7 separate regions of the Mus musculus genome follow, and all the other regions are reported to be linked to region 3. The links are microRNA targets in miRTarBase. Many come from high-throughput screens and were not tested one by one. Region 3 holds a microRNA gene; each other region holds the end of a gene's coding sequence. Distances are from middle to middle.

Region 1 (3,082 bases), not on the chromosome of region 3:
AGAGTCTGCCAGGGATGGGAAAATCAGATAGTTCACTGTTAGTTTCCCTCCTAGTCCCTGCACTTTCTAGCCATTCTAGATGGGGATTCTAGTCTCCAGGCTGGGTCTATCCACCCACCGTGCGATGGAGAAATCCTGGTAGCACCCTCCCCTACAACCTTACCCGGCAACGTCTCTTGCCCTGACACAGCTGCTGGAGGCCCTGCCAGCACAGCTGGCTCCACGCCCAGTTCCTATTGAAAGGTGGGAGGGGGAGGCAGAGAGCTCCAGGAAAATTCCTCCTTTCTTCCCCATTACCCAGGCCTGTTGGAAACTGGTAAGCAAGGAGGCTTGACTGGGTTAGAGTGGTTGCCTCTAATGACACCCTCACTCCCTCCTTCATTGTCAAGGACCAAGACCTCACTTTCTGTGTTTGCTAAAAGTCTAAATCAGAAGGGAAAGTAAGGCTTAGAAGCTGGGGCACTTCCAGATTGGGGGAAGGGCAGTGTGGCCTCAGAAGGCATTCGGTTCCCATAATCTGTCACCAGAAAGGTGACACTGGAACCCTGGGTAAAAGAAGAAGAAGAAGAAAAAAAAGTCTTCTAAATGAGGAGGTGGGATGATAAACTTGCACCACCTTTCAGTGGGAAAAACAGTCAAGCTCTAAATACATACCACACTCAACATGGAAGGTGATACTGAGCGTGAGGCACTGACAAGGCAGCTACAGAGTCAAGACAGAAACATCGGCGGCAGGACACAGCAGAGACATGCCAACTCTCTTCCCCTAGGCCCACTCTGCCATCTCCCACCAGGCTCTCACCCGTAAGACCCCTTGTTCCCACCTACCAGTCCCAATGGTCACCTCTCACCTCCCCTTGTCAGTTGGTCCGTCTGTTCTACTGGGACACTGTCCGGTCAGCAGGAGGAGTCTGGTGCCGGGGGAGAGCGTGGGGGAACAGTGAGCTCAGCATTTTATTATTTTAGCTCTGGCCAGGTGGGGAGTGGTGGGAGATCACATATACACAGACCCCATACCTTGCCCAGCCCTGAGAGCCTCTAGTGGCCAGTATCAGCCATGACATGTCCTCTTTCCCTGCAAGCAGAGTCCTCCAGTGGAGAATCAGATGACTCCTACGGTAGGGTACCAGTTCTGCTCAAAGCACTGAATAGAAGATGATGTATCAATGTAACAGCCATTGTGCCTCACACCTGAATTCCCTTGACAGGGGACACTAAGATAGGACTGCTACAAGACGGAGAGCAGCATGAACTTCATGGTGAGCTCAAAGCCTTGTAGTAATTTTTTTTTCCTTTTTAACTTTTTTAAAAGGGAGAGGGGGCACATGCCTTTAATCGTAGCACTTGGGAGGCAGAGACAGGCAGATTTCTGAGTTCAAGGTCCAACCTGGTCTACAGAACAAGTTCCAGGACAGCCAGGGCTAGAGAAACCATGTCCTGAAAAAACGAGAGAGAGAGAGGTCTCAGGTGGTTAAGACTGCTGCACAATTGTGAGGTCCCCGCACCTACATAACAGCATAACAGGGTGGCAGACACAGGAACATTGGGGGCTTGCTGGCTCCTGATAGCCTAGAGAACAGGAGCCCAGGTTCAGAAAGAGAGCCTGTCTCAAAGGATAGGTGGAATTACAGATGACCCTGCCTGGCCTCTGCATAGGTGCACCACCCGACACGTGGTTGTATACATAGACACATACAGAGACACACACACTCAGTGTAAGGATTTTGTTCTGGTATTTAAGAGACTATGTACTGGCTGGTTTTATGTGTCAATTTGACACAGGCTGGAGTTATCATGGAGAAAGGAGCTTCAGTTGAAGAAATGCCTCCATGAGATCCAGCTGTAAGGCATTTTCTCAATTAGTGAACAAGGGGGAAAGGCCCCTTGTGGGTGGGACCATCTCTGGGCTGGTAGTCTTGGGTTCTGTAAGAGAGCAAACTGAGCAAGCCAGTAACATCCCTCCATGGCCTCTGCATCAGCTCCTGCTCCCTGACCTGCTTGACTTCCTTTGGTGATTAACAGCAATGTGGAAAGTATAAGCTGAATAAACCTTTTCCTCCTCAACTTGCTTATTGGTCATGATGTTTGTGCAGGAATAGGAACCCTGACTAAGACAGACTAAGAGAGTTAAATATGGATAACCCAGGTAAGTGTAATAAAAATGATAGACATGAGTGCAGGCATCTTTATGACACCCACTACTTAGTAAATACATGCTACTTAAAAGGACAGAGCAGGAACAGTGATTTACCCCTCTAGGCCCAGCGCTTGGAAGGTTGACATGGGAGGCTTGCTTGAGCCCAGGAGTCTGAAATTAGTCTGGATAAATTAGCAAGAACTTGTGGTTTATTTATTTATTTATTTGTTTTTTTTTTTTTCCAAGACAGGATTTGTCTGTTTAGCCCTGGCTGTCCTGGAACTCACTCTGTAGACCAGGTTGGCCTCGAACTCAGAAATCCCCCTGCCTCTGCCCCAACCTTACACATCAGACAAAAAGGATTTTACCATTTTATTAGATTAAAAAAATGAAGAGCACAAGTAAATGAAATGAACTAGGGAGGAACTGAGGGAAACAAGGGCGAAGGTTGGCAGAAGGGAGGGCGGAGTGGAGAGCCAGGTCAGGAGAGGGACTGTCTAGGGGTCAGGTGTCTCTATTTGATGACAATCTTCTGACGCAAGGCTCGAGGCCCAGAGCCAGGTAGTGGCTCGGGGGGTGGGGGCCCGGGGCCCAGCGCCGAGGCGGTGGGTGGAAGTCCGTGGGCAGTGATGTACTTCTTGTACGCCTCACGGATGATCTTGAAGGCTCTAGCAGTGGCATAGGGTATGTCTGTAACAGGGTCCCGGTACAAAGCTGGACGGTGGGTCACTGGGCAGACCTCCCGCACCGGGACCTTCGGGGGTCGCCCCTGGGGGAACCACTCTTCAAACGTTGCATCATCACTGAACGTGATGAAGGTGCGAGAGCAGTGAGCAGGAGGGGTGGCAGCGGCAGCTCCAGTCCCGGTCCCAGCATGTGGAGCCAGTGCAGAGGCTGTAGGAGCAGGATCAAGGCTGAGGGCAAGAGAAAAGTCACAAAATGCTG
Region 2 (3,082 bases), not on the chromosome of region 3:
AATTTATGTGGCTCAAGAATACAAACTGACTTTTCTAAATGAATTAGACATTGCATCTCTTGTTATAGCTGTATTTTATAGAAGCCAGTTTGCTCTTTTAACCAAGGGGTCTTGATTCTAAATGCACATGGAAATTACTTTGGGAACTTTAATTAAATATACAGATACCACTACCTCCTTTCTGCCAGCATCCTCAGAATTTCTGCATGTGGTGATTACTGTTAACTCAGGGCTGAGGACCACTCAGATAGCTAGCATGAGATGTTATGTCTTTTTAAAATACCAGCCCTGGTTGCTGGAGTAAAGTATAGCACCCTAGCTGCTGACAAGTTCTTGGGTTTCAAAAGTTGTCACCATCACAAAGTTGTCACTATCATGCTTTACTTTGTGTTTCAACCCACCCATGTGGAGAGTCTGTCTCGTCTTTGCACCCATCTTTGAACCTCTCATAGTCTTCTCTGAAAATCACATCTGTTTCTGCAAGATAACACCTAATTTTACTCACCTCTTTTTTTTTTAAGGTTGTGTGGAGGAAACTTGGAGATGCTGCAGGCTCCTGTCCTGGAATTAGGCAACATTTGTCAGGAAACCAGTACAAAGGGCCTATGTGAAAAGCACTGCCTTCAAACATGACATCATCACTACTAGAGACAGCAGAAAAAGAAGACAAAGAAGAAATTCAGTTTCTACAAAATAAAACTCATGACATCACATGGAGTGATTGTACATTGCTCATATCTCCCTTCTAAATCCTTTAGTGTACCTTCTCCCATACAGCTAATATGTGCTATAAGTCTCAACTTTAGTGTTCATAGCAGTCTCAAGGTAGCTTTGGAAAATCGTTTTAGTATTAATGAAAGTATTAATTTCATGAAAGCTGAAATGTTTTTGACTCTTCACAACCATGATTGACATATTGGGTAGTCTGCATGGTTGGATGAGTCCAGTAGAGTCCCTGTGGCTTTGATAGAGGTGGTTCATTATATCTAATGGTAGGAGCTTTCTACTGTGTGGAAGATATGAAAAAGTATTTTTGAGCATACAACCTGGGTTGGGAAGCTCCCTCATATATATAGCAGTTGAGGAAAGATTGCTTCCTGATGCAAATTTAGTTGGATGCAAGATAACATTTGGTTTTCTCATTTGAATTCTGAGGTGCTAAAAAATAACACAAAATATTTTACCAGCTAGAAAGGTAGGAGGAATTTTTAAAAATGCTTAGCAGAGAGTATCATTTATTTTCATTTGGTCAAGATAAATAATTTAATTTTGATGAGTTGTTTATAAAGGCATGTCTTTGGACCATACAACCCTTCATATATATTCAACTTACCAATGTCAACTAACAAGGAAACAAACATAATTAATTTTTCTAGGAGTTTCAAGCTGTGACATTGTCTGTTTCTACAACTTAGTTTTTAGACATGCTGTATACTTAATAAACTTTATGTAAACTTTAAAGTCTTGCACTGCCCTAGGAAACAGAAGCTTTCTTTGCATATCACTGCAGCTATCTAATGTCTTAGGAGGCTAACGCATGTCCATTATTGAGGCTAAATACTCTTTTCAGATTGCTTGAGATGTGTGCCAGCTTTGCTAGTTTTCTGCCTAGTGGTATAGATGTATAATATTAGAATGTGTGTACTGGAAATGCTATGATATTTTGTGTTTATCTAAATTTAATGATCGTTTCTTGTATGAATGTTCAAGAGGCCTGTGACAGAATGCTGTTTTTACCATAGTTTAAGATTATAAAGTAGGGATGCAACAATTCCTGGATAGCTTCTAAACTTATGATTTGATTCACAGTCAATATTCTTTGTTGTCTATAAATGAAATGGTTTTATTATATAATTTATTAATGAACATTGGCAGGAGAATGAGAAGAAATTTGCCATAGTAAAAATACCTAATTGCTACTTCCAAAACCGCCCTCTATCTTCTGAAAATATTTATGGGTTCATTTAACATAGAATCATCTTTCTAATTATCATTACTGAGTTATAATTTAAGACTCTTCCTTTAAACTGCTATAGTTTTAGTGTCTAAGAGAAAATTGTTACACACACACACACACATACTTTCTCACACAGAAACATCCTTCAATTGTTGTATTCCTACAGTCTGAAGATATTTAAACAAATTTTTGTGCTTGCAGTAGATCCTGCAGTAGCGATACAAAGGACATTGGTCTTTTGACAAAATACTTGTGCAAATTTTGATACTGTATCAAAACTATTTTTTTAAAGTTCCACATAAAATTGAGTATTAAGTATATGTGTTCATCTTAGCAACAGTAATAAATTATTTAATCTCACAGTATTTTTGTCTGTTTTGAAATGTTCTTCCTTAACAGAATAAATTTCTAATAGTCACTGAATATCATCCCTTGTGTGATTATGATACTAGTAGTAATATAGATCAAAATAAAAGACATGCAAAAGGCATATTAAAAATATGCTTATGAGGGACTTAATAGTCAGAGACATCTTAATTTATACCATTTTCTATTATAGCCTCCAGGAGTATGATTTAGGAACAGTTGAATTTTCTTAATAAAATTCTCAGTTCTTAAACTTATACTTGGAATGGAAATACTAAAATAGTTTTGAAACAATCAGCATTATTTTATGTATTTGTGGGAAATTTTATAGTAGCACATAAGGCTTCTTAGAAGTTGCTAATAAGATGGTAAAATGAGGCTTCCTGTGCTGAGCATTATACCAGTTTTAAGTAATGGCGTACATTGATCCCATGAGTAATACTGTTTTCCTATGGGATCATTTCAATAAATTTACTATCTAATCATTCCTGCAACAAAGCCTAATTTACATGTCTTGACAGTACTTTTAGCTGCCATGATGCTGATAGACTGTCACAATCTAACTTTTAATGAATGCCTTTCTCATTTTTAGCACATGCTTAAAGCTCTGTAGGAATTTGTCAGCTCATGTGACATTCCAAGAGTTTAATTGGTATGATTTCCCCTTAGTTCAGTGAATATTTAGTGATGCCTACCACTGCCATACAATTTTGGGCTAGCCAACCATGGTTCTTCGGGATTCTCAAGACATACAAGGAT
Region 3 (3,082 bases):
ACCCAAGGCTGGCGGTCTGTCCAGCTACCCACAGAAGGCCCTGGGGACACTGCTTCTCTGTAAGTCTCTGGAAGTGGGGTCAGGATAGGCTCGTGGTGGATGGTATGGTAGCTCTGCCTACCTGTGAGTAGGTATGTGAATTAGAGGCTGGGATCAAGGCAGGGCCTGGGGTTATGGGAGGACACTAGGGACTGAGGTACTAAGATGTCCTGGAGAGGAGAGCCTTGGCCCAAGCCTTCCCTCCCTCACCGCCTCTGTTGTTTGCAGATGTGAAGGAGTCCCGGAAGGATGTGCTGCCTGGGGCAGAGGGCCTGACAGCTGTGGGGGGTCAAGCTGGCAACCTGGCTCGGTGCTCAGAGCTGGCACAGTCACAGGCATCGCTGCAGTCTGCATCCTCTGTGGGCTCTGCCCGTGGGGAGGAGGGCACCGGCTACTCTGATGGCTACGGTGACTACCGTCCCCTCTTTGACAACTTGCAGGACCCAGACAATGTCAGCTTACAAGGTGGAAGCCAATGGGGAAACTGGGGAGGGTCCAGAAGGGTGGCGTGGGACTGGCTATTTACCTCTGCCTCTCTGCACAGAGGCAGAGATGGAGGCCCTGGCTCAGGTGGGCCAGGGCAGCCGCAAACTCGAGGGCTGGTGGCTGAAGATGCGGCAGTTCCATGGGCTCCTGGTGAAGCGCTTCCACTGTGCTCGTCGGAACTCCAAAGCTCTCTGCTCTCAGATTCTGCTGCCTGCCTTCTTTGTCTGTGTGGCCATGACTGTGGCGTTGTCTGTCCCTGAGATTGGTAAGGGTGCCTGGCCCATGTGGTCTGGGGCGAGGCTACTGTCTTGCCCCTGGGTCTTGGCTTCATTTTTCTCCCAGCCCCCTGTAGAACAGTCCTGAGCTCCTCTCCTCACACTCTGAACCTTACTCAGGGGCTCATGAGAGGATCTGTCTCCTTAGGAGTCATCCCCACAAGCTCAGCCCTCTCTGTGTTAGGGCTGGGGCTGGCATCAGATAACTGCAGTCTGCTCAGGTCTCCGTATTCACCCATCAGGTGACCTACCTCCACTGGTCCTGTCACCCTCTCAGTACCACAACTACACCCAGCCCCGTGGCAACTTTATCCCTTATGCCAATGAGGAACGCCAGGAGTACCGGTGAGGCCGTGGGCTGGGGCTGTAGCACAGGGCAGGGCAAGAGTTGAGACTTATGGCTCCTAACTCACTGTCATGTCCTCAGATTACGGCTGTCACCTGATGCCAGCCCCCAGCAGCTGGTGAGCACATTCCGGCTGCCCTCTGGTGTGGGTGCCACTTGTGTGCTCAAGTCTCCTGCCAACGGCTCCCTGGGACCCATGCTGAACTTAAGCAGTGGAGAGTCCCGCCTGCTGGCGGCACGGTTCTTCGACAGTATGTGCCTGGAGTCCTTCACACAGGGGCTGCCACTGTCCAACTTCGTGCCACCTCCGCCCTCACCCGCCCCTTCTGACTCACCCGTGTCCCCAGATGAGGATTCACTGCAAGCCTGGAACATGTCCCTGCCACCTACTGCTGGGCCAGGTACTACCTCAGGGAAGGCTCCGGGGGGCACAGGCATGAGTGACCCATCTCATTGTGCTGCACTGTGCCCACAGAGACGTGGACGTCGGCGCCTTCTCTGCCACGCCTAGTGCATGAGCCAGTCCGCTGTACCTGCTCTGCACAGGGCACGGGGTTCTCATGCCCCAGCAGTGTGGGTGGACACCCACCCCAGATGAGAGTGGTCACAGGTGACATCCTGACTGACATCACTGGCCACAATGTTTCTGAGTACCTGCTCTTCACCTCTGACCGTTTCCGACTACACCGGTAAGTTGGCCTGAAGTGGCTGTGAACAAGGGGTGCCTGGCAGATGGCTGCCGAGCCTCAGTGACCCTCCCACCTGTCTTGTACAGATATGGAGCCATCACCTTTGGTAATGTTCAGAAGTCTATCCCAGCATCCTTTGGTGCCCGGGTCCCTCCTATGGTGCGGAAGATTGCAGTGCGGAGGGTGGCTCAGGTAGGCGGCTGCCCTTGGGTTTTGGGCACCTGGTCCTAAGCCTAATAACTTTTGGTTTCTGAGCCTCTCTGAGGTCCTTGCCCCTCCCCAGGTGCTCTACAATAACAAGGGCTACCACAGCATGCCCACCTACCTCAACAGCCTCAACAATGCCATTCTGCGTGCAAACCTACCCAAAAGCAAGGGCAATCCAGCAGCCTATGGTAAGGAGAATCAGGGTTGAAGGACAGGCAGGGATGCAGCTGAGCCGAATGGTTGCATGGACCTAAAGCTACCCTTTTCCCGTGTGCAGGCATCACCGTCACCAACCACCCCATGAACAAGACCAGTGCTAGCCTCTCCCTGGATTACCTGTGAGTGAGGCAGACCAAGTTGAGGAGGGGCAGGACCACCTCGTCCTGACACCTCCTGGAACTGAGTGCTGTCCCCTTCTAGACTGCAGGGCACAGATGTGGTCATCGCCATCTTCATCATTGTGGCCATGTCCTTCGTGCCAGCCAGCTTTGTGGTCTTCCTTGTGGCAGAGAAATCCACCAAGGCCAAACACCTGCAGTTCGTCAGCGGGTGCAACCCTGTCATCTACTGGCTGGCCAACTACGTGTGGGACATGGTGTGCCCCCGCATGGTCCCTCCCTGTCCCTGACTCCCATCCCTACGCCCGGGTCTCATCCTCCACCTTCACCTTTGCAGCTCAATTACCTGGTCCCAGCCACCTGCTGCGTGATCATCCTCTTTGTCTTTGACTTACCTGCCTACACATCACCCACCAACTTCCCCGCGGTGCTCTCCTTGTTCCTGCTCTATGGGTGAGCTGGGGAGGGGTGTGGAGCATGTATGGTTGTGGGTGTGGCTGGGGGTGCCCTGTGACCACCACTGTTTGTCCACAGGTGGTCCATCACACCCATCATGTACCCAGCCTCCTTCTGGTTTGAGGTCCCTAGCTCAGCCTACGTGTTCCTCATCGTCATCAACCTCTTCATCGGCATCACAGCCACGGTGGCCACTTTCCTTCTGCAGCTTTTTGAGCATGACAAGGTAAAGGTGGGGGTGAATGG
Region 4 (3,082 bases), not on the chromosome of region 3:
TGTGCCTTTGTGTCAGCTGAGTCTTTGACAGGAATTGTGCGAGAGTGGGGTTCCTACCATTGCCTTTTTTGGTGCTGCCCTGTGTTCTAGATTTGCCTTGTCTACCTTCTTGGACACAGAAGTAGGGGCACCCAGCCTTTCAGAACAGTGGATCATGGTTGAATTATGTTGCTGCTGGGTAGGGAAGGTGTATTAAGTAGATCTCTCTAAGACTTCACCGAGAAGGTCACAGGCAAAATTTGTTTAACCCCAAATGTCTTAGATTTTTGAACAGACTTGACTGTGCAATTTGTCAGATTTCTTTTGGGAACAGTAGTCATAAATGTTTTGTCAGTGGGTACATTGAACTTACTTTTACTTTCTCTTTCTTTAGGACAACGACACCACCAAAAAGAAAAAGAAGAAGAAAGTAAAAGTGGTAGAAGAGATGTCTGAATAGTTTAAGCCACTTCTGGAAGCATTATGTCCAGCTGGGAAGAAAAAGAAAAGCCTTATTGGAAAAACTTTTTGTTGAGGGAGAACAGAGGTCCCAGAGTAGAAAGTTCTGGTATACTTTTAGCTGCCACTTGTGACCTCAGTGGTTAGCTGGTGTGGCCATCTCATCCCATCCTGTCCTGTTTTAAGGATATGAGAGATAAAATCAGGCCTTTGCCACCAACCCCTCTGCTTGCTTGAGGAAGCCACACCTTTAGACATGGCATGGCCTAGTAACTATCTGCAGCTATTTACTAATGAGCATTTTCAACAATGCCATAGATAGTCCTCTCCTACTTTGCTTTTTAAAAAGTTGGTAAAAATTAAATCTGCTACATAAAATGGTATAGAACCTTCTGTGAGAGAAAAAATGTAATTGAACTATGTTCACTGGGGGACTCTTATCTCCAGTGTTCTATGAGGACTGCTCTATTCAGGTATTAACCTTGCCTGGTGGTATCTATGATATTTAGGCTAGTACTCTGTATTTTTGTGTACAACAGGATTTCTCTATATGGCTACTTGTGTTTCTTATGGAAGCCAAAGCATTCCTGTACCTTCCTATTTGTTTTCTTTTAAAGAATGGAATTGCCGGGCGTGGTGGCGCATGCCTTTAATCCCAGCACTTGGGAGGCAGAGGCAGGTGGATTTCTGAGTTCAAAGCCAGCCTGGTCTACAGAGTGAGTTCCAGGACAGTCCAGGCTATACAGAGAAACCCTGTCTCGAAAAAAAAAAAACCAAAAAAACAAAAAACAAAACAAAAAAACCAAAAAACAAAAAAAACAAAAAAAAAAACAAAAAAACAAAAAAAGAAAAAAAAAAGAATGGAATTGTTCAGAATGGAATTGTTCATTGCTGAAGAATGTAATTTGTAGTTTTTTTTTTTTTAAAAAGTATTCCTGTTAGATTTACTATGATAATCTTGGACTGGCAACAAAAGTGAGAGAATATTTTTATTAAAAGTCTGAGGTTTATGTCCTATTTTGAATTTGCTTTTCCTTTGGCTACTTTTAAATTTCCTAATTCTGAGTCTTTCTTACATTGGCACTGGGGCCTATCTGCTCTCAAGGGAGATCATTACTAATCCAGGGTTAAGAGGAAAGGGGTAGATGCATTTATATTGTACTGGGCTTGTGAAGAGGTTGGAGGTACTCCAGGTAGGAAACTGCCAGTTTTGGTGTTGACTGCAGAGGGAGCAGGGAACTTTGCTTAAATATGTGCCCAAAACCAAGAATATAAACACAAGTTTTAGGGGAAATTGTTAATAGCATAGGCAGGTATAGAATGCCCAAACAGCCCCTGCTTTTGTAACATGTTTTAAACCATTCTCTTACGACTTAACAAGTCCTAGAGAAGACGCCTTTGTGCATTGTGAATACCAGACCTATAGAGGCAGTGACAGGTAATTCCCAGAGATCTTATGTTAATGTCATTGCTTGGAAGGTTAAGATTGGGAATGGAGTTACAGGGTCACGGGTACTTTAACACAGCAGCATTTTTATTGCTTTGGAAGATTTTCCCTACAGCAGACATTCTATTGCACAGCTGTTTGATTTTGGCATTTTAGAAAGTTTTCAGAAGATATTTATTCCAGAGTAAAAAGACATTCTATAGTTGAAAGCAAAGGAGCTCAGGCTTCAGGGGGACAGTTGGTTTATCTATGTAGCATTGCATTTGGTTATTCTTATGGCAATTTTCCAGAGATCATTTTGAAATGTAGATAGTAGGAAAGCTTCACCCCTTTAGGAGCCTGAGTAAGAAAACAGCAGAGCTAAAAGTTGAAGCAACCCTTTTGGCTTAAGCAAGGGAGGGGGTGCGGGGAGGTGGCATTCCAAATGCTGGCTGAAACATGTTTGCCAATTCTGTAAGCTTAGTAAACCCAGGAGACAGGCACCCACTGTGGAGAACTGCAAGCCTGGTCAAAGGCTTCTTGCAATTTCTTAAGAGTTTCATCAACACTATTATTCACCAAAGAGAGGTCAAAGTAATGAGCATACTGACTACGGATGGCCTCAGAGTCCTTCTGCAGCTGCTGCAGGGCTTCAGTCTGCAAAGAAGAAAGCCATAGATGAAGCAGCAGTCTTTAATCACAGCAGCAAAGGGAAGATTTAAACAAGTTTACATTAACTGGTTCCCCATCTGTTTTTTTGCATGGTGGTGATCCATCCTGTGGCCTAGTATCTGCTAGGTAACCAATTAAGAATATAATGTTTGCCAAAGGGGTTGAGAACCACTTAACTATTCTAATGAATGCCAAACTAACCCTAATTACCTAGCACAGCCTTCACTAGCATTCACTTAGTTTTAGCCCTTTGTTTATGGAAAAGCCATTTTAGCAACTACTACAGCTATAATCCAAGGATAAGGGAGAAAGTTTATTGACAAGTCTCAAGCCTCTGGCTCCAATGGTCAGTTAACTACATAAAGGCAAAAGGATAGAGAAATATGTGTCATAGTGGTGGTGGGGATATTTGTAACTTTCATTACAGGGAAGTACCATAATATAGAATTCTTAGATGAAGTCACTAACTCAATGGAAACATGAGCTAAGGATATGGCCAGATATACAAGCAATACAAATAACTTTTAATAAGTGTGTGTGGCAGTC
Region 5 (3,079 bases), not on the chromosome of region 3:
AAGAAAGGTAGAGGTGTGTTCTCTGTAACCTGAGTTGGAAGGGATGGAGCCAAGAGGGAGAAGCTCCTATTTTACCCAAAGATGAATTAAGTACAGACTGCACAGCGGGATCCCGTTAACTAGGGTTGGGATTCAGGATACGGTTAAGTCTGATGGACATGGGGTAGGTAGTGCCAGCAATCCTGGGAGTGTGCTGTGAGCATTGGCTTATAGCAGTCGTGCTGGTCCTCCATCGTATACAGTCCAGGGGGGCACAGGCAGAGCCTTTTGAAGTTGCTAGTCTGACATGGGGTGTCTAGAAAATTATATTTCCTGTGTTTTGGGCAATGGGAACTGAATGGTAGCAGTGCATTTTATTGTATGCTGGGAGTGAATGTTCTTGACATGGTCATGAAATGTGTGTATATCCACTCTAGGATATATGCACATATATCCACTCTAGGATATATACACATGTCCACACCTTAGACAATTTAAGATTGGTTTGCTTTTCATATGTTTTTCTTATTAGGCTTTAAAATGTTTTTTTTTCTTATATTACTAAGAAATTTGAAACTAGTTTGTAGACTATCATATCCAAATCCTCATGGGGGACAACAAATTACACTAAAGCCACAACTTAGGAGTTACAGGGAAGATAATTCAGAAGCTAAAAAATATATTTTGGTTCATTCTCATGAAAAATTTGAGTCCAACATATCTAAAGGATTAGAGCACAAATAGGTAGGAATATATACACCAGTACTTAAAAACATTAGAAGATCGTGCATTTGTCTACATTCTCAATCAATACACTTGAAAGAGCTAGTTTGTTTTGCAAGTCACACATTTTATTACAAATTTATTTTGAGCCCAGTAGAAAAGCAAATTCTGGATCTATTTACAAGCACTACGTATTTACATGTGTTATGTACAGTTAATGCATTGGGGAAATTGGCAGAGAAACAATATGTCTGGGAGAATAGGCTACTGTACATGGTTTATTATCATGTTCTTTAATGTCACTGCATTTTTCCTGTAGCAATAAATACAAGTCTATATGTACACATCTTATAAAACATCTCATAAATGTATTTTTTTTTAAATTCCACATTAAAACATCTGGTCAAAATAAAACATGCTTATATAAAAATAAATCTACCTAATGGCCTTTTGGTTCGGGTGCAGCAAAGCTAATGTAAGATCACAGAAGTTAAGAATAAACCTTTCGCTCTCCAGATTTAACAATTTGTCTTGAAACATCGAACACCTGCGTGAATATGGACTAAGCAGAGAAGTAATGAACTTCATATCAAGTGGTTGATCCGGAAACAAGACACAGCTAAAACCAAGCTAAATGCACCGAATCCTACTTTGCCCAGTTTCTGTTGAGTCCGAAGTGTGGAGAGGCATTGTTGCTCGAGCTACCAGAGATGGGTGTGTGAAGTTACACAGTGGACTTAACGCCCTGCGTTTGAGCACTGAAAATGCACAGCCATTTGAGAGAGTGATGAACATCTTGCCAGAAGCATGCTCCTACTCAGAAATAAATACAGATCCGACAATTTCATACTGTCTTTCGTAGCTATGACCACGGCTGACAACGAACTTTCTGAGCTTCAGACTCCAGGATTTTAAAAGACGAATCAGGATAACCAAATCTTACCTATATATAATTGCTCGAGGAAGATAACCAAATCTTACCTATATATAATTGCTCGAGGAACCATTTAAGTTAATGTTCCAAAAAACCTTGAAACCAGTTTTATCTCAGCAAGGGAGAATGCACTGGATACTTATCTATATAACCCAGTGTCTTTTTGTTGTTGTTGTTGTTGTTGTTTTTTGAGACAGGGGTTTCTCTGTATAGTCCTGGCTGTCCTGGAACTCACTTTGTAGACCAGGCTGGCCTCGAACTCAGAAATCCACCTGCCTCTGCCTCCCAAGTGCTGGGATTAAAGGCGCGCGCCGCCACGCCCGGCTTAGAAGCCAGTATCTTAAATTTATATATGGATTAAAAATGTCAGTCCAAGAAACTGGTGTCTTGGAAGGAGCCTGTCCGTCAAAAGGCAAAAAGACACACAACCATCTCTGTGTAGCCATTAAAACTAAACTCTGTGGGCAACATAGCCCATTAAAGATCCTTTTTTTTTTTTTTCTTAAAACTCTAACCTTTTAAACAAGGAATTTGTGGATTTAAATACACCCATTGAGTCATCCAACGAGTCTTCTCACTATGGGAGACTATGCTGGTGAGTCAGAAGAGACTACAATGCGAAGAGCATTTCAGGCTGCTTTTCTCATCTGGGTTCACCTAAGTGACTTGATGGCTTTCCTTCTTAGCTGAACAAATGATACAAGCGGTGTTTAATGATGCTCTCCTGCTCTAAGGCACCACTGTTTCCACACCAATTTAGAGATGTTTGCTTGGGTTTTAAGGTAGGTTTTTAGCTCAGCTTTTCTTAGCTACTGCTCTGATAGAAATCACTTTTCAGGTTTCCAACTCTTAAAAACGTTCCTCTCTCATAGTCACTAGAGACATGGGACAAATGCAACTGAAGAGAGATGACAGCTTTCAGTCATGGGGTAAGCTGGTGATGCCCCGGAAGTGGAAGGCAAGTCATAGGCTATGCTGGCGTGGGTAAAGGATACTAAGGCTTGGGTTGACTCACAGGACCGTTTCTCAACATCGTCCGAGTTAATGGACAGCAGACTCGCGTGTTTTGATCTCATCCAGAAACGGGTATGCTTTCCCAGGCTGCCCATATCCTCCTTAAAATGGGGATTGAAGACAATGTAGAGAAGTGGGTTGAGACAGGAAGGAAGTGGGACGATCACGAGAAGTATAAATTTAATGACGTCAGGACTGATAAAGGTGAGGTTTAGCAAAGAGGAGAAGGATAAGAAAGCCACGGGGCAGTAAAGGATGCAGTTGGCGAAGAGCAACAGAGCAATGTGCTTCACCATCGAACAATCCCAAAGATTCTCCAGCTCTCCTTTCTCCAAACTGCAGTAGAGCTTTGTGTAGGCAATGGTCATTATGAGGAAACAGAGAGAGTTGAGCAACACGAGAGCCACCATGTAGCCCGTGGTGCTGGGC
Region 6 (3,082 bases), 92 Mb from region 3:
GCATTTTTGGTTTGAATTCCAGTAAAAAGTTTAACAAAATGCCTACATATGTATAAAGTGAAGAAGCACACGACTTTGAAGTTATAGGGATCCAATGTTTTTATGATATAAATATGAGACACAGAAAACATAAAATAGGTATAAAATATCTTACAGTTTGTACAGTTCTTTCGAAGCTTTTACAGTATACATCTTTAGACAATTTCACAAGTGGTCAGTAAATGGGTGAGTCACTCCACAGAGAAGAAGAGCAGAGACATTGCTGTTCACAGACAGGATCAGTCCTTGCTTTGGCAGACACCCATCTGCCCAGACATTTCAAGACAGCCTGGTAAACAAAACCTCATGTGACAGGCCAAACTTTGTTCCAGATTGTATCAGGAGATCCCACCTGCTCCTACCATTCTGCAGGAACAGTACCAACTCAGACTTCACACATCCTTTGTCTTGGCTGGAATGTAAGAATTTGTGAGGAAAACTACTGTCTCCCACTATCTTTCCTGTCCTTTCTGCTGTCTGTAAGGTCATCTAGCTGTGATAAATGACTGAGGCCCTCTGAATTCCTATATTACAGATTATTTACACAAAATCTCACTGGGAGATCTTTATTGGGGATGAGAAATAAGAAAAAGGCATTGTCTAAAGAATCAAGCTCTACACTTGTACTAGTGCATAACAGAGTGAAAATACAAATTTTGAGGTCTTCCATTAGTCCTATCACTCCATAAAAGTTTCCACATAATATAGACACCTGCCAGAGGCGTAGTACCAGGTGCTATGCTTTTCACGTTTCTGAGATGGGATGTAGAAGAAGGATAACTGTGTGTAAAGTAGTTCATTAAAGTTTAGAGAGACACTCACCACAAGCCAGCTCTTTGTCACTGAAATGCTCCAAAGAGGTGTGCAAACAGGCAGTGGTCTTTCATCAAAGGAATATCTTAAATGATTTGAGTCCTTTAGGGGGCAGCACCATGTACAGTTCATATTCCTCTGTAGACTTTATGCTCTTGGTCGTAGGGTTGAAACTTTTAAACACTTTTTCCTTTGATTTTTCCAGACAGAGTTTCTCAGCATATCCCTTGCTGTCCTGGAACTCATTCTGTAGACCAGGCTGGCCTCAAACTCACAGAGATCAGCCTGCCTCTACCCACCGAGTGCTGGGATTAAAGGCATGTGTCCCCATTGCCCAGCTAGGTTTGGAACTTATTTAGTTCGATGAGACTCTTAAATTGCTTGTCTTGCATATTAAATTACAAGTTAGTGTGGTGCCAGACCTTCCTAGCATGGAAACAGTCTCCTCAAAAGGACACAATCAGATGAGATGTTTTTTGAAAGCTAAAAGGAAGCTGACAAGAGAGTTTGTGAATTGCTTCACAGGCAACAAGACAAACCCACTGATTTTAACCTTCACGAAAGAATACTGGGACACTGTTACTCACGGTTTTGTTAAGCAGAACAATTTACATTGTTAGCAGTTTGCCTTATAATGAGCAGAACTATACTTGCAAATTTGTGTAAGTGACTAAAAGGTGTTTGATTCACGTCTGCATTTTCTAAGGGAGAAGGTCCAAGCTCCATGCATGTCTGATACTATATATATACATTCTACACACATGTAAATACTGCCAGCTATGAAAGCCGTCACACCCATTAGCTTATTTGTAGATAATAAAAGTGAAGACAACTTAAGCACAAATTCAGTTCAAAAGAGAACCTTATGATAGATTACTTGAGAGAGAGAGAGAGAGAGAGACTAGAACATGAAGAATTAAACACTGTTCACAGACCATTTCTTTTAAAAAGTCACAGATTCTTAATTCTACCCACTATAGAAAGACTATCTGGATAAACGTGTTATTGTGGTTTGACTTAGCTATTTAGCTGTGTGTATGCCATGGTAATTGCTGTTTGTGGGTAGTGAGTGAGTTTTATTTTGTATTTCATAATGACTAAGACCTAGAGCTATAAGTTGGCCTGCAATTAGACAATGTCAAGTTCAATTAAGAAGCTCTGGATTTAAAACCAGGCTACATCGCTAGGAGTTCACTTCTAGGTAGATGTGCTGATGTGCCTATAAGCAAGGGAGGAAGGAGGCGGGCAAGTGAAGGACAGTGGGGAAAGAGGCTCTTGATGAGGTCTGAGGTAGCGAACACTGTAGGGATCAGTTTCACAAACAATGCAGGCATGTCAAAGTCACCACGCTTAGGCTATTGTTTCCGTTATGAGCGGGGTTTGGGTAGAACAAAGTAAGTCAGTTTGCGGAAGGCAGCAAATGGATTCACCAGGGACTCTTTATCTAAGTATGAATCAGTAAAGCGGGCTGCCTGGGACACCCTCAGGAAACTCTAGACTTATTTTAGCGCATGTTTGGTATTGGTTTCAGTAAAGAAAGAAGGTTAGAATAGGAATGCTCAGACTTTGCATGCTTGAGCTTTTCTTCCCTTTGATTCAACTGACTGAAAACCAACGACTCACATTAAAAACCGTTTAGGTAAAAACCAAGGATGTCAACAGTAGTGGCCAGCTCTACCCTTTTAAAGTCAGTCAATCTAAAGGTGCTGAACGTCTGCAATGAGTTTTGAAGTGAGATCCCAGTATACCCTCCTGCAGATTCTGGTCCTTGAAATTCTGGATTAAGCACTATCACCGTGGTCCATCTGGGCTAAGACATGATTGCTTTTCCCAAGCTGCAGGGATTCTATTTTCTTCTGTGCGTACTTCAGTTGGATCTTCAGAGCATCGTTATCTGCTTTCAGGGTATTTATTTCCTAAAAGGAAATGAGAATAAGGTGTGGTAATAGAGCAGCAGTGAATAGGAAATTAGTGACAGTATCAAGAGCATTATATTTGATTGGCATCTCCTGTTCCCTGTGGTTAAGAATTATAAACTATTTTCAAAGCAGTTATTTAGCTGTGAGTATAAAAGAACACATTAACTATCATGGGCATGCACAAATAGCAATTACTCTTTGTTATCAGATCTCAGATGTGAGTGGCTAGCAGGACAGAACAATCCATTCTTGGGCATTGGGTGGAGGAAGCCACAACTTTTGGGTAGTGTGACGCAGGCATCGTAACTTGA
Region 7 (3,082 bases), not on the chromosome of region 3:
CGATTCAAAGAAACAGACAAACAAAAACCTTTCATAGCATGAATTGAATATTAAGATGTTATGTAATTTCTTTTTTAAACTTTTTCTTCCAGCATTCGGGTTTCAACCTGGAATAGACTGAATTATCTAAAGAATGGAGTACTAAAGTCTGCCTTAAAATCTGCCATGGCCCATGACCCCATCTCCCCTGTGCTCTCCGATCCACACTTGGACACTGTGGACCAGCGGCTTCTGAATGTCTTGGCCACCATCAAGCAGTGTACTGACCAGTTTGGGACGGATACTGTGCTGGTGGAAGACAGGATGCCACTCTCCCACTTGTAATTCTCAACGCAAAACAAGTGGAACTGATTTTACAAAGATAGAGAAACAGCACAATCAATTCCAAATGGCATGCGATGGTCTGCAGGTGGCCACAGTGGGTGCTGGTGGCAGAAGACGGTGGCGGCCCTGGGAGTGCTCGGTGTTTTCTGCAGTGCAAGCTACGGACCACAGTTAGGCTGCCTCACCTCTCAGGCGGCCAGCAGCAGCTCTGCTCAGTCTTTATTCCCACACCAAAGGGCGAGCAGGTGTGACATTGGCTAAGGAAGTGTTTCCAGAGTGTGCGTCTCGGGTGACCCTTGCTGTCTTTTCTCTACACCCATGGATTCTCTGAAAATACTTTGCAGTTCCTTGTGTCTTAAAAAAACACAAAAACAAAAACCAGAACTAGTCAGATTGAAACCATACTGTTCCTCCAGAGCGGCGTTAGACAGGATAGCGGTCCGCACCGGGGGCCGTGTTTAAGGGAGATTGGAGGAGGGGAAAGGCGGAAAGGTCTTGGGACTCTAAGCTATTGGGTGGCATGGATTTGACATCTCAGGGAAGAGAAGAGGGAGGGACTCACTCTTTAGAACCAGGAAGATAATTGACTTAGTGAAAGACAGCTTCCCCTCTGTTTAGGTTCTCAGATATGTCCAGAGCAAATTAGTCATCCCCCGGTTGTGTTCATATTAACCACAATCATCTCTAGAGGAAAGAGTATTACAACCCAGGCATGATCCTCTATGGACACTAACTTACCCCATGTCCACCTTTGCCCAAAAACACTGAAACTGTGCTCTCTGCCACCTGCCCCCCACGCTTTTTCTTTTTCTCTCTTTGGCATTGTTCATTTTGAGGTAGACCATAGACTCTAGCCCAGGCTGATCTGGAGCTTACTGTATAGCCCAGGCTTTGAACTGGCCTTAGCCTTCCACATGCTAGGATTATAGGTATGAACCAACATGCCCAGCTCTCTCTTCTCTCGTGAAGTCATACCCTGTGAGTAACTGGCCTGTAATGGCGCTCTTCCTAGGACAGTGGTGACCTTGTCTGTGCCGGTGACTGCACCCTGCAGGTAACAGTGAAAGCTTTTAAGCCTCTGAGCCTCGAGACTGGGGAGATTGAGTTTATACCCCCTAGTCTCTCACATTCAAATCTAGTAGCCTGTAACCACTTTTAAATGGCTTGAAATTAGGAAACTTGTACATTTAATGTACACTTTGCGGTAGATTAAGGAATATACTGCATATTTCTTTTTTTAAACTCGGGATATTGAACTTCAGAAAACAAATATTAGCACAAAACACTAAAATAGTGTTAACAAAAGGAGATATTGAGCCAGGCAGTGGTGACACGCACACCTTTAATCCTGGCATTTGGGAGGTAGAGGCAGTCAGATCTCTGTGAGTTCAAGGCCAGCCTGGTCTACAGAGTAAGTTCTAGGACCAAACCCAAAAAATAAAGCAAAAACAAAAGGAGGTATTAAGTCCAGTTTCCAGGCTACTTGCTGTGTACATCAAGAAAATTCAGTTGAATTCTGAGATTAGCATGGTTATTAGCACTTTATGCTGGGAGCCAGCAGAGTGGTGGACTTCCGTGCTGACTAAGCTGTGGCTCAGCATTCCATTGCACACTGGTGAAGTGAGTAGGGATTGTTCCCAGGCAAGCAGCCGTACTCGTCATGTTTTCTGCGGAAAAGAACAGGCAGGAAAGCTGCTCCGAGCAGTTAGAGAAAAGCCGCCTCACACTGTGTTTCACACTCGGGCAGTAAGTATTGTAACGCCGGCCTCTTTTTGGGTCATTTACTAGATTAGGACTATTACATCCAAGGCACTGGGGGATTCTGGTGGGCTCCAAATTAGCTTTACTGATTGAACATCCACAGAGATGGAGGCATTTAATACAAAACCAGGAACTCCGAATCCATTGCTCTTTCCTCCTTTGCTTTCACTTCTTAAGTATATGTGTTCTGAAGTTGAGATGGGAGAGATTTGAATATAGAATTTTTATTCTCAAACTGTTTAGTCATCTAAGGCTTCATTGTACTTCGGGGAGAGCTATAAGTAACTCACCTTTAAAACAACAGGCTCTGATTTGCTGAAGAGGTTTGGTATTTTTTAAGGTATGTCTCCCTGTTTGCACTCAGGGTTAAAGTGTCAGACTAAATTTTTAGAAGAAAACAGAAATTCAGGTGTGTGTTCATTATAGGTTATTCAGCAAAGTGGACCCTGACAGTTTCTCGGTTTCCCCAGTGCTGAAGACAGCATTGCCATCCAAAGAAACTCACATTTTCTTTAAAGCTATCACACTTTGTCTTCTTATCCCCTGCTTCCTGTTCCTTCAGCCTCCCTTCCCTTTCCTTCCTGGATCTCTGATTATCTTGTGATCATAGCACCTGCTGTCGGCACACTCCCGTGAGTCCTGTGGTCAGGGTTTCAGGATAGGAGGTGGAGGTTTGGGTTAACGTGGGAAAATGTTCTTGCTTTGACACAAGGAAGTACTGAGTGGCTGCACCGAGAAAGGACTTGGCTAGTAAGGTTAGAATGTGCATCGCGCATAGCCGAGCAGCCTGCTAGCAGGTGACACACTCCGTGGGGGAGGCTCTTCTCCCCTTCTTTCTCTAGTCTGGGTGGTGAACGGGCTGACACTGCTGTCACTGGTTCTTAGGACCTAAGGTGGTCCTCATAAACTCCTGGGGGAAGCTGGGAGCAACTTCCTGGGAAGCTAATTTATTTGTCTAAAGGGTGGTGTGGGCATCACCACCCTTGTTTGATCTGCC

What was found. Region 3 holds the annotated microRNA mmu-miR-3087-3p (UAACUCACUGUCAUGUCCUCA, at 1,206-1,226, shown strand). A microRNA usually pairs through its seed, bases 2 to 8, with sites in the 3' UTR of a target mRNA and lowers its output. Matches are read on the target gene's strand: a 7mer-m8 pairs with bases 2 to 8, a 7mer-A1 pairs with bases 2 to 7 and ends in A, and an 8mer does both.
Region 1: miRTarBase lists Vps72 as a target of mmu-miR-3087-3p. Seed matches in the 3' UTR shown: 7mer-m8 at 2,418-2,424.
Region 2: the mRNA of Ccdc85a is a reported target of mmu-miR-3087-3p. Seed matches in the 3' UTR shown: 7mer-A1 at 1,998-2,004.
Region 4: the mRNA of Dkc1 is a reported target of mmu-miR-3087-3p. Seed matches in the 3' UTR shown: 7mer-m8 at 1,155-1,161.
Region 5: the mRNA of Lgr5 is a reported target of mmu-miR-3087-3p. Seed matches in the 3' UTR shown: 7mer-m8 at 1,865-1,871.
Region 6: the mRNA of Rasgrp1 is a reported target of mmu-miR-3087-3p. Seed matches in the 3' UTR shown: 7mer-m8 at 1,121-1,127.
Region 7: the mRNA of Fam20b is a reported target of mmu-miR-3087-3p. Seed matches in the 3' UTR shown: 7mer-m8 at 1,707-1,713.

Annotation. Positions count from the first base shown.
Region 1 is chr3:95,122,348-95,125,429 of GRCm38, reverse strand. It overlaps Vps72 (vacuolar protein sorting 72), which reads right to left. Exons shown (of 6, transcript NM_009336.2): 6 at 2,379-3,051. The coding sequence ends at 2,652. Tmod4 (tropomodulin 4) reads right to left here and starts at 916. Exons shown (of 10, transcript NM_016712.4): 1 at 852-916.
Region 2 is chr11:28,386,388-28,389,469 of GRCm38, reverse strand. Ccdc85a (coiled-coil domain containing 85A) reads left to right here. Exons shown (of 5, transcript NM_181577.5): 5 at 522-3,082. The coding sequence ends at 611. Among named protein-coding and RNA genes, the nearest start is that of Ccdc85a, 200 kb to the left of the region's middle.
Region 3 is chr2:25,441,608-25,444,689 of GRCm38, forward strand. It overlaps Mir3087 (microRNA 3087), which reads left to right and starts at 1,172; the gene lies at 1,172-1,227. It overlaps Abca2 (ATP-binding cassette, sub-family A (ABC1), member 2), which reads left to right. Exons shown (of 49, transcript NM_001368624.1): 27 at 268-504; 28 at 584-790; 29 at 1,043-1,145; 30 at 1,228-1,547; 31 at 1,622-1,835; 32 at 1,922-2,027; 33 at 2,119-2,230; 34 at 2,320-2,380; 35 at 2,463-2,637; 36 at 2,718-2,833; 37 at 2,915-3,062.
Region 4 is chrX:75,108,323-75,111,404 of GRCm38, forward strand. It overlaps Dkc1 (dyskeratosis congenita 1, dyskerin), which reads left to right. Exons shown (of 15, transcript NM_001030307.2): 15 at 374-1,454. The coding sequence ends at 439. It overlaps Mpp1 (membrane protein, palmitoylated), which reads right to left. Exons shown (of 12, transcript NM_008621.3): 12 at 1,411-2,521. The coding sequence ends at 2,345. Among named protein-coding and RNA genes, the nearest start is that of Gm25520, 8.5 kb to the left of the region's middle.
Region 5 is chr10:115,449,503-115,452,581 of GRCm38, forward strand. Lgr5 (leucine rich repeat containing G protein coupled receptor 5) reads right to left here. Exons shown (of 18, transcript NM_010195.2): 18 at 812-3,079. The coding sequence ends at 2,512. Among named protein-coding and RNA genes, the nearest start is that of Zfc3h1, 66 kb to the left of the region's middle.
Region 6 is chr2:117,279,909-117,282,990 of GRCm38, forward strand. It overlaps Rasgrp1 (RAS guanyl releasing protein 1), which reads right to left. Exons shown (of 17, transcript NM_011246.3): 17 at 75-2,768. The coding sequence ends at 2,634. Among named protein-coding and RNA genes, the nearest start is that of Fam98b, 32 kb to the left of the region's middle.
Region 7 is chr1:156,678,653-156,681,734 of GRCm38, reverse strand. It overlaps Fam20b (family with sequence similarity 20, member B), which reads left to right. Exons shown (of 8, transcript NM_145413.4): 8 at 93-3,082. The coding sequence ends at 324. Among named protein-coding and RNA genes, the nearest start is that of Tor3a, 5.9 kb to the right of the region's middle.